Linked DNA regions of Arabidopsis thaliana. The protein of the gene in region 2 interacts with the protein of the main gene of each other region in a pairwise test. Each region holds a gene or a part of one and is shown on either strand. Other genes may lie near its edges.

Evidence for each region. The genes of interacting proteins can lie anywhere in the genome.
Region 1: the proteins of AT5G50180 (region 2) and AT1G78070 interact in a two-hybrid assay, tested with the Arabidopsis thaliana proteins (one large-scale study listed by BioGRID).

The regions. Positions count from the first base shown.
Region 1 is NC_003070.9:29,353,091-29,359,560, reverse strand, and holds AT1G78070 (Transducin/WD40 repeat-like superfamily protein), read right to left. Parts: upstream 4,618-6,470; 5' UTR 4,446-4,617; intron 4,351-4,445; 5' UTR 4,343-4,350; coding exon 4,199-4,342; intron 4,105-4,198; coding exon 3,931-4,104; intron 3,823-3,930; coding exon 3,736-3,822; intron 3,216-3,735; exon of another isoform or gene 3,126-3,215; coding exon of another isoform or gene 3,095-3,125; exon of another isoform or gene 2,897-3,094; coding exon of another isoform or gene 2,853-2,896; exon of another isoform or gene 2,555-2,852; coding exon of another isoform or gene 2,477-2,554; coding exon 2,342-2,476; intron 2,259-2,341; coding exon 2,148-2,258; intron 2,068-2,147; coding exon 1,976-2,067; intron 1,892-1,975; coding exon 1,786-1,891; intron 1,694-1,785; coding exon 1,193-1,693; 3' UTR 551-1,192; downstream 1-550.
Region 2 is NC_003076.8:20,428,809-20,433,674, forward strand, and holds AT5G50180 (Protein kinase superfamily protein), read left to right. Parts: upstream 1-1,644; 5' UTR 1,645-2,307; coding exon 2,308-2,420; intron 2,421-2,660; coding exon 2,661-2,793; intron 2,794-2,883; coding exon 2,884-3,079; intron 3,080-3,316; coding exon 3,317-3,441; intron 3,442-3,524; coding exon 3,525-3,683; intron 3,684-3,760; coding exon 3,761-4,075; 3' UTR 4,076-4,338; downstream 4,339-4,866.

The DNA of each region.
Region 1 (6,470 bases), on a different chromosome or scaffold from region 2:
ACTTTGATAATATATAGTTGAGGATATAAGAAATTGTTAATATACAAAATAGAAACTATTTGGACTGAATTAGAGAGTTTTGCGAAAACAAAAAACTGAGGGTGGTGTCGTTTTCAGAGCAGTTGGATGGCGTTTTGTGAGGAAGATGAATGGCATGTGAAGTTTAGGTGAATTGTCACCGTCACATTTTGTTCATAATACCTTTTTCTTCTTCTTCTTTGGTTTTATCGTTTTCGCGTGATATCGTGATTAACGTGACATATGGTCCATTTCTCCATTTTTATATACTAAGCTATTAAGTACAAGTTTCTTTTTTCATCAATGGAGGAGATCAAAAAATAAGTACAGAATTTTGGACGCTATTACATTTGCCTTTTCAGTTGCACATAGTTCCCAATTTGAATTGTAATACCATTATTGTTGAATCTCGATGAAAGATATCAAAGAGTTGTTGTTCTCTTAGAAATTAGAATGCAATTATAATATGTGACACGTTTTAAAGAAAAAAGAAAAGGTTATTGAAGAAATAGAATCAAAGGACTCTTTATTTTCTGTTATAAGAAGAAGGTTAGGTGTAATTGAGGAATGTTTCGTAAAGCTTTAACATTACATTAAGTGGCTCACTCACACATGAGTACATGACACTTCCTTAATTGCTTTATTCGTCTTGAGAAAAAGATAGAAATCTCGACTATCAAAATCTCCTTAACCATCTTTATGTCTACTACTTTTAGTATTAGATGCTGCTCTAAAATCCTTTCAATCTCAACTTCTCCCAACCATCAGTACTGTTTCACAGCACATTTAATCACCTAATTGGGCTTCAACTATTTAAAGCCCGTGAAACTAGTTGTTGTTTTTGTCCCACATCGACCCCAATCACATTCTTCAAGCCACAAATTTTTATTATAAATAAAGGCCTGGTGCTGCTTCTGAACATCGAGTTGGGCTTCAAATTTTAACAGGTTCCTCACGTCCCCATAGCCTACAAGTTGTGTCTTCAAAGTTTAACAGCACTCATATAAGTACGTATGTTCTACAGTTGACCAAACATGGAATTCCTAAAACCACATAAACATGACAAAGGGAAAGTCACAAAAACAACGACTTTTAATCCCTCCAACAGCCACTACAACCATAATCTCACACATACATATAGCTCCTTAATTTGCTTCTAACGATTGGAGTCAGATCAGAATATGGAATCAACATACGAGTGGTTTCGCTTCCTGTTAAACTCCAACAAGCTGCCGTACGTACGATCAGCTACTCCCACGAACAGTGCCTCCGTGTCGGGGCTAAACGAGATTCCCGCTATTTCTCCAAACAGATCAATCTCTTGACACTGACTGTAACCAGCTTCCGTGTCAAACAAGTGTACAAAGTCCGCTGGCTCAGCCATGGCTAAGAACCGTCCATCAGACGTGAACCTCAAGGCTCTGATAGCTCCCATGTTTCCTTTCAAGACTTTGAGTGATTGAGACAGGTTCCTTACGTCCCATAGTCTACAGGTTGTGTCTTGGTTACCCGTGGCTAAGATTTGACCGTTTGGGTGCCATGCTGATGAAAACGAGTAGTCGAGATGGCCTTCGAGTCCGTGGATCACTTTTCCAGATCCGGTATCTGCTAGTAAGCACTCAGGACTGTCTCCTAGAACAGCCACTAGCTTACCATCTGGACTGGTGGAGATGTTCTACAAAGACACACCAAAAACATTAGTTATGAACACTTTGAATCAATAGCAGATGAAAACAGTTGAGTCTTATGAGAAAGAGATGCACTTACATTTACAGACCAGTGAAAGGCAAATCTGTTGAGCAAGGCAAAGTTTGTGGCATCAAATAGCCGGACAGTACAGTCATTGTTCGCGGTCATAACCCTTAACGAGCCACTACATGGATTAAGGAAGCAAGAATTAGAAGAGTTGTTTTTTTTGGTTTTTTGAAAACCAATGTATGTTCTGTTTAGTAATCACCTAGGTGCGTTGTAGATGTCAACCGAATTGGTGATGTCGTTATCAGCTGATGTTAGTTTAGTGCAGAAAGCAACCTCAGGTTCGTTGATTTTCTGGAATCAGAGTGACCACGCAAAATGAGCAAACAAATTAACAATAAGATCACTGCAGAACAGAGAATATATTAATATACCTTACAGATAAGCTCTCCTTGGAACCCTCCCGCAACTATCAAATCGTCTTTAACTGCCATGGTGCTTATCTGGACTCTTGATACAGACTGTGACAACGATCCATGCTGCTTCTGAAGATTAAATTACCAAAGTTAATATATAGTTGAATTCCGAGGTTTCAAGAACAAGTGATGGAACGAGTTAGGTTGCTTACCATTGAAGGAACAATGGGCTTTGCCACATTAAGTACTTCTTTGCCCCTTTGCAACAAAGATGACCAGTGCATGAGAGAGTAGTTGTTCATGAAATACACATCGTGCTTTGATGTTGCCCATACCAAGTTCCTCAGCTGTAAAATGAGACAATAATGATTAGGATTGTTGCATAGGATACAACTGGTCATCTTACACAAAAAAGCAGAGAACATGCAAGTTCTCACACAAAACACAAGCCAAGAAGGAAACAAAGCAACCGTTTCAGTAATCAAATGTTGACTTTAAAAACTTCAGCATTAATCGTTTATGAAGCAACTGTGCCAGAAAAAAAAGAAAGAAGAGAAGACCAAAACCAAAAGAAATAATAAGAAGCACAAGAGCATAGTATCACGAAAAAATGCAGATGATATTGAAGCACTCATATAAGCTTGAACAAAAAGATTTCCTGTAAGAAATAAGGATGACAAAGTTAGAGAGTCCTTGCAGATTAGCAAACATTTCCTATCATACCATATTAACAAAGGTTTCCTTAAGGCGCCAGCTGCTCTTCCAACCTGTTTAAGAAAGGTTAAGTCATACAGTAACTGTTTCTCAAAATGCAGCAGAGGTAGTGTTAAATCTTCAATACAGTTCCCGTGGTCTAATAATGGACATTGAGCGACGTCTAATGTGCAAGGGAATCTTAATACACTCTCTGACTCTAATTTTTGAGGTGATGAAAGTATATGAAGATGTTAAAAAGTTGCCTGTACCAGTTAGATATATCAACTCTGCCTCGATCATCCTAGAAACATATCATGACACTCTTTTTGAATCAGTTAGAACCTTAATATTGTCCCTGAGTAAAAAACGAACCTAAGTTATTATATTTCGAGAAGTTAGAAACGAGCAGGTTAAATTAAGCACCCTTGAAGACTATCTGCAAAAGAAAAGGACTTTGTGTGAATCAACACCCCCAGCTACAGCGCTGAAGGTGGGAACAATGATCAACATAAGAAAACAGGAAGAGTTATCGCAAATTCTAAGATCAAACATAATTAACAAAAAGAATAAACACTGACAACAGATACATTTTTCATCTTCAAAATAAGTTTGGCAGATCTCACTTAAAAGTTGGGGTTTTCAGACTCGGTGTGAAAGAATTGTGACACTGAAATCAGCATGGAACTACAATCTCTAAGCTCATAAAATATTTCCATGTAACTAGAGAACTCATGCGTGATAAGAAGCCACTGTGGAACTACTGTTTGCAGTTGCAGACACGACTGCTAAAGACAAGAGCTGAGCAACACAGAGGATTTATATATGATAAAGAGTGAAAACCTAGATGACTCCAAGCATCAGTAAACAGAGTATTCCAAACATAGCAAACATAGTTGGTCAAGTTCTCTACCTGAAAATGCGCTATTGTGGACTTGACAAGCCTTGTATTGAACTGAAAGTCATAAAAGTTCTTTCCTTTCTCTACTTGCAAGCATTCCTGACAACAAAAAATACAAGAAATCATAAGAAAGATGCACACCAAAACTCAAGATTTCAAATCATCCATCATCATAAGCTATAAAAACTTTGATTGGCTAAGACGAACCTTATCAAGCTCTTCTCTGGATCGAAACAGACTCTCAAAGTTTTTATAGTGCAGCAATCTATTCTCACGGTATCTATCCCTCGTGTAATTCAAGCTCTCCCATGGAATCCCTTGAATATCTTTTCCATTCCTAGCTTCTAACGCTGATGTTTCATTGTTCGTCTTACTCTCACTCTAAAACAACAACATAACAAGTTTGCTATTAATTTCATCACATCCATTAAATTTCAAGCCTTTCCTAAACTTGAAGCAGAGTAAAGTATCATACCAGCTCGAAATCAAAATCGGAGTCCATGAAATCGGAATCAGACTCACTGGTGACATCAACCTCTCCAAAGGGCTCATCATCATCGAAATCAGCGTGAAATTCATCAACAAGGTATTCAAGATCAGAGTTGTCGAAAATATCCATCTTTAAACCTGGTAAAATCGATCAAGAACAAAATATAAATAAAACCCCATAAAATCGAACAGAGTGAAACAAAATAAACAAACCTGTGTTCAAAAGTTTGTACCTTTGGCAATAATCAAAATCGAAATCGAAATCTTTGAGCTTACGAAATTGGAGAAGGAAGGAGAAGAACAAGCTTTGTGTGGTTAGCGAAGAAACGGTGGGAATTGGAGTTAAGGGCCTACTTATAAACGGTGGAGGAATGAGAGGACATGACAAGGTTTTGGGTAGGACCGGTTAGAGCCGGTAATAAAAAAAGAAAACCAAACAGCGGATTTCAAAACGAGTTAAGTCCGCGGGAAGTTTTTGGACCTACATATTTACCGGAACAGTCGTTACCTGGTCAAAACAAAACGTTAAAAATTCTCGAGAATTGACAATATAATAAATTATACGCGACAAATATGGAAACAAAATATCTTCCAAATTGTGGAGGTTTATTGTTTATTCTAATTACACACTTTTGAAATCTTACTGATGTAAATTATTGGGATCTCGTTTTAAAACACTTTAATGCCACAATTATTGTTTGTTTCTATTTACCTACAAAGGAGAATTTGTTTTCCATTGTGACTCGATTTGGATATATTCTGGAGAAGAAGAATTTTGGACTAAACTTCAATATGTGTTCAAATTATATTGAAACACTGTTACAACTTAAGAGTTTACGAGATATAAAACATTAAGAAAATAGCTGAATTTTCTAGTAGAAAACGAAAGGAAGAGACAAGCGTCAGACAATTTTAATGAACAATAAGAGGACTAGAGTGTTTAATAATAATAGACCACGAGGAAATATTCAAACAATTAGTAATAAAATACTAATGACAAAAGAAAAAATAGTAATAAAATAGGTTTTGGTTGTTAGTGTCACTCTCTGTGGAACGTGGCCATCGTAGTCTACCGACATCTCACAGTCGCTTAATGGGCAATTTCGTCAAATCATCACCACTAAGCGGTTATGACCAGCTTATGCCGTCACAAGGACCGCTACTTCTAGAGTGACAACTGTCGGTCATAATCGTTTATAGGCTTAGCTTCCTCCACGTGGCACTAGTTTTGAGTTTGACATAAACAAAAAAAAAAAAAAACTCAATAATTGTAAATTAAAATTTACCCAGCTGTGAATTATTATTCTGAACATGTTGAATTTGTGTTAGATTTTTTTACTTCAAATGAATTTCTCTACAAAGCTCCTTCCACCAAACATTTAGCTGAGACAGAAACAAATTATCTACTAGTAATATTGTTGTATTAATTGTTTGAAACCGACAATTTTTATCCAGTCAAACCTAGATACGTGACCAGGTGAACTTTTATAGATCACAATTAGGTTGATTGTGACATATGGCCTGACCTGATAAGGTTATAATAATATTGCTATCCATTATCACTTATATGGTTGGTTGGACGGTTCAGTACATTTCTTAAACAATTCTTGATATATAAAAACGCTATTACATGTTTTGATACCAAAACGTTTTGAAAGACTTATTGGGCTGTACACTGGGAAAAAAATATATGCTAAATGACTTAACGCAAAGACCTTAAAAGCTATTTGGAAAAAATATTATTGGGCTTTGGCCCGTAAGACCATTTATAATGGTATAATATAATTCAACATTTTTTTTCCTTCTTTTTCACATTATTTTTGTTATCTTTTCCATCTAATAATTAAACATATATATATATATACTATTTTTTTCTATTCTACAATTATTTTATTTAATAAAATTCAACAGTCTATCCTGATTTTTATTAAATTAAATGATTAAGAATTAAATAGTTTATTAGCAAATTAAATTAAACAGAAATAGATAAAAATCAAATACTTTTTGTTTATTTTATTTGAGATAATATGCAATCTAATACGATTTTCTATGTGTCCAAATTAAAGGAACCAAATCTCTATTTATATAGTTAAAAAATGATGAGTTTTGATATAACTGTTTTTAAAACATTTTCTATAAACTAATTGATCTCAAGGATATAGGATTAGATAAAAATCTGAAAATAATAATGAAAATAGCAAATCAGAAAAAGACACAAAAACTTCACAACACCAAAATTTAACAACTTCATTATACTT
Region 2 (4,866 bases):
ATGATCTTAATTTCCTGCCACTGCATATTTCACTATAAATAAATGGGATCAGAAAGTTTACAGTTTTCTTCTCTACTATACTACAAAATTAGTTTAGCTTTCTAAAATAAAATAAGGAAGAAAACCTTAAGTAAAACCAATTACATGTCTAAAATATACTTACAAAAGATCCTCAATTATAAATTTTAAAAAGGTTGTTGTAATATCTCATATCCATTTAGATGACGTCACATACAATTTGCTACCTCTTGTCACTCATTTAAACATACAATACGTTGTACTACGTTGCGACACTTTCACTAGACTGGTGAGATATTTAGAACAAATACGTCAGCCCGATAAGAAATATGTTTTATATTCTTTTACACAAATCTAAGAATGGATTTGTTAACTTGAGATATCTTATGGTTTTTGTTTATGATTTATATCATAAACACGCTTAAGTTACATCTTCACGAAGATACAAATCTGAACAATGTAGATGATGATATGATGCCTCTTTTCTCACGTCATGGATTGATTCTGCGATTAAACGTAAGGTACAACATCTTCATGTTTGTTGTCCTTCAGATGGTATTTGTAATATCCCCATGTTTTTCTAGCTGCAAGACTCGGGTATCCTTAAATCTCGTTGATGTGACCATGGATGATGCCGAGTTCGTTTCTTTACCTTATGCTGTTATGCATTTGTAACGTATTTGGTCTCCCAGTGAGGCCACCTTTGCAAGACTTGTCTCTTGCTATCCTGTATTGGAAGAGTTAAATATTGTTGAATGTTGGAATCTTCCGGAAGTCATTCCGGCTGAATTTTTTTGTCACTGATCAAGAGACTCAAAATAAAGCTATGCGATTCTACGGTTGTACAAGTACATATAAAGATAAATATGGAGTTGTGACTGATGCTCCTCTTTTACGCGATTTGTTTATTGATGATGACCAAGCTGGAAGTTATTTAATAAACAATTTGAGTTCCACTGCCAAGTTAAATGTTTATCTCGCCTTTGGTTTGGACAGTTTTGATGAAGCAACAAGGGTTTCATCGAGGAGAAGTAGCATCCACAATTTTCTGCTCGGGATTTCAAATGTCGGGGAAATGATCATATATCTAAACACTTTAAAGCTATATATGTCATGTCAATTCCAGTATAAGACATGTACGTTCTCTATCATGATTCATGAAAGTTTATGACCTACATTACTTTTCTTTTTGGTTCGAGATCATCTATCAATACTCAAAATTAGAACCGCTTCCTCGGTTTGGTTACATGTCCCACATGTATGCTGATATTTATGTACCTAATTGGAAATGGTTAAAAACATTTCTTGGGAGTTGCCCAAACTTGAAAATCCCTCATCTTGGTAATGATCTGCTAAACTCTAGCTAGTGTGAATCAACTAGTGTTCATGTGTTGTTGTAGCAAAGCTTCTCTGATGATGAAATGCAAAGAAGAAGCTACAGAACTAAAGAAGAACAATGGAAGCATTATAGGTGTGTATAGTACTAATGAATCTCTTTGCTTTTGACCACAAAGCAACCTACTTGGTTCATGTTACACAATCAAATTTGGTTCCAAATGTCACATATAAATAATAATTAAGCATAAAAATTCCCTATTTATAGCCAATATTTGCTTCTGAATATTACTCAAATTAAACCTAAAACTCAGAAGAATGTTTTGAGAAACAAAAGCAAGAAATTTTGAACCATGTGATATGTTTCACCAATCAATCATATAAACTTCTTCTGGTTTATCTTTTTATTATCCTATCATTACCACTCCATACTCATAACTCTCTCTGTCTCTCTATCTCCCTCTCCACATCAAGAAGAAGTCTCTGCTAGTTCCAAAACAGAACAAGTGAATCCCTCAAGTTTCTTATTACAAAACCCAAAAACCAAAGTGAACCAGTGTTGTTGTTTGTACTCACAGATCCATTCTCCACTGATTCATTTCTTGCTCTGCTTCTTCTCTCTTAGTTTTGTTAAGAATCTTCTCTTATCCATTGTGTTTTTTCTATTTTATAAATACATATATAATTTTAGTTGGGGGAGAGCTTGCCTGGTGTCGCCTTCTTCTCTCTCTAAGACTTGTGCTTAATTTACGGACATGTGAAGATACTTCGCTTTTGCCTCATCGAAGGGCATGTTAGCTATTTACTTATCTCTTCTCTTCTCTTCTTTGTCTTGTGAGCTCTCAAATCTTCATAGATACAAATCAAGAAAGTGATCAAACAAAAAAAGGACAAGTCTTTTTGGTATTTCAGATCGAGAAAAAATGTGGTTGCAAGGTTTGAAGTAATCTTGCAATGGATTCTTTGACTGGATTTAGAATGGAACCCAAATGGCAAATTGATCCTCAGCTTCTCTTTGTTGGTCCAAAGATTGGTGAAGGAGCTCATGCTAAAGTCTATGAGGGAAAGTAAGCTCCTTTCTTCTTCTTTGTTAACTTTCTGGATTTGATTTGCTTATGAGATTATTGGGAAAGTTTGGATTTTGATTTGTGGGTAAGTGAAGTCTAGTATTTGTTCTATAAGGGTATGAATAAAATGCTTGTTTGGTACACTCATCTATCTTGATTTGTCTAGTTGAATTATTGAAATTGTAAAGTTGGAGTTTTTAATGGATCTCTACTGTGTTTGGTCGTTATGATCTGAGACAGATACAAGAATCAGACAGTTGCTATAAAGATAGTTCACAGAGGAGAAACACCAGAAGAGATTGCTAAAAGAGATTCAAGATTCCTTAGAGAAGTAGAAATGCTCTCACGTGTTCAACACAAGAATTTGGTCAAGGTTCTTGTTTCTTGAGATCTATGGCTGTTTTTGTTGTTACTAGCTTAAAGGGTTTCATGAGTTCATGATTGTGTTTTGTCTCTGGATCAGTTCATTGGTGCTTGCAAGGAGCCTGTAATGGTGATAGTTACAGAACTTCTTCAAGGCGGTACATTGCGTAAATATCTATTAAACTTGAGACCCGCATGTTTGGAGACTCGTGTGGCTATCGGTTTTGCGCTTGATATTGCTCGTGGTATGGAATGCTTGCATTCCCATGGGATCATTCACCGTGATCTCAAACCCGGTAAAACTACCTCTTTAAACCTGATATGTATCATTTAATGATCTGCTTAAAGTATTTGCAAAACACCTTGCTTCATGGAAACCACATGCTCAGATCTCAATCACAAAGAATCTTTTCTTTCTTTTTTATTGTCTGACACCACACACGCTTCAAGTTCTTTTAATATTCTGGTTATGATTAAGATTTAATCTTAAGTGTTGAAGATGGTGTTAAAGGATCTATTGTTCTGTTTTGCAGAGAACTTGCTTTTAACTGCAGACCATAAAACAGTAAAACTAGCAGATTTTGGATTAGCAAGAGAAGAGTCACTGACTGAGATGATGACGGCTGAGACAGGAACATACCGATGGATGGCACCTGAGGTTCTTCTTTACTTATAGACATATTTGTTCATTTCTTGTGCTTCTCTTTGCTACTTAAAGACAATCTTGGTGGAATATTACAGTTGTACAGCACGGTAACTCTTCGATTGGGAGAGAAGAAGCACTACAATCATAAAGTCGACGCCTATAGCTTTGCAATAGTTCTTTGGGAGCTTTTACACAATAAATTGCCTTTTGAGGGAATGTCAAATCTCCAAGCAGCATATGCAGCAGCCTTCAAAGTGTGTAACACTGTCTTGTTTTGCTTTTGATTTTCGCTGAACTTTATTCTCTTTGTTTTGACATGTTTCTTATACAGAATGTGAGACCAAGCGCGGAGAGCTTACCGGAGGAGTTGGGCGACATTGTAACATCATGTTGGAATGAGGATCCGAATGCTCGGCCCAACTTCACGCATATCATTGAGTTACTTCTTAACTATCTCTCTAAAGTTGGATCTCCGATATCCGCTATTCCACAACGGATTCTTGCTTCGAAGAACACGCTATTGCCACCGGATTCTCCTGGAACTAGCTCTTTGATGGCTAAGCTTGATGAATGTGGGGAAACTCCAAAGGCCAAAAGTGAAGACAAACGAAAAGGTTTGTTTTTCTGCTTCAATCAATGTTATTAACCTTGAAATCACAGAGTGGTTTTAGGACCAGAGATTTGGTAGACATCACTCAAATTATTCATGTAATAATATCCTCCCTACCATATGAATTTAGCAAGAAGTTCATTTATATAAATAAATAGTTATGTAATTGTAATGAATTTAAAAGTAGACGTAAAGAAAAAGTTTCCTAAAGAGGCTCATGTTCCCTAAATGAGAAAGTTTTAGTTTTGTTAAATTTATCGTTTTCTATTTTTCTATCTCTTCTATTATCAAGACTCGAGGATTAAAGAAGTCAACTCTTCATTTTCAACTTTTTTTTTTAATCGTTTTGGTTGTGATTTTTTTTCGACCAATTAGTATCACAAGATGTCGAACTTTTGAAAACCAAAGTTTGATATCTCAAATGCTACCAAGTGTAGGTTATGTGGCTTAGCCAAAGCATGTGTCGCGTGCTTCACGAAATAAGGGACAATTGGTGCATTTAGCGTAGGGATGAAATTAGAAAACTAGAAATGAGAAGTTATCTCAGAGGTCAAATTCATATTTGGTTATTGATTCACGGATCAAATATCCAAATGACTTCTAGCCAAACCGTTAGGAGAAAATCCGTCGGTTGAGAATCATATATGGCGCTGGTGAGTGAGACCACCGAAAACAAACTTTATATTTATGAATATAGTACGATTCAAACGAATCAACATGACACTGGATGAAGACATCGGTGGTATGAATCTTCTGATTTTGAATCTGGTAACACCATCACCATCCAAAATAAGAAAAAAAAAATACGAAAAATGATTAAAGAGAGC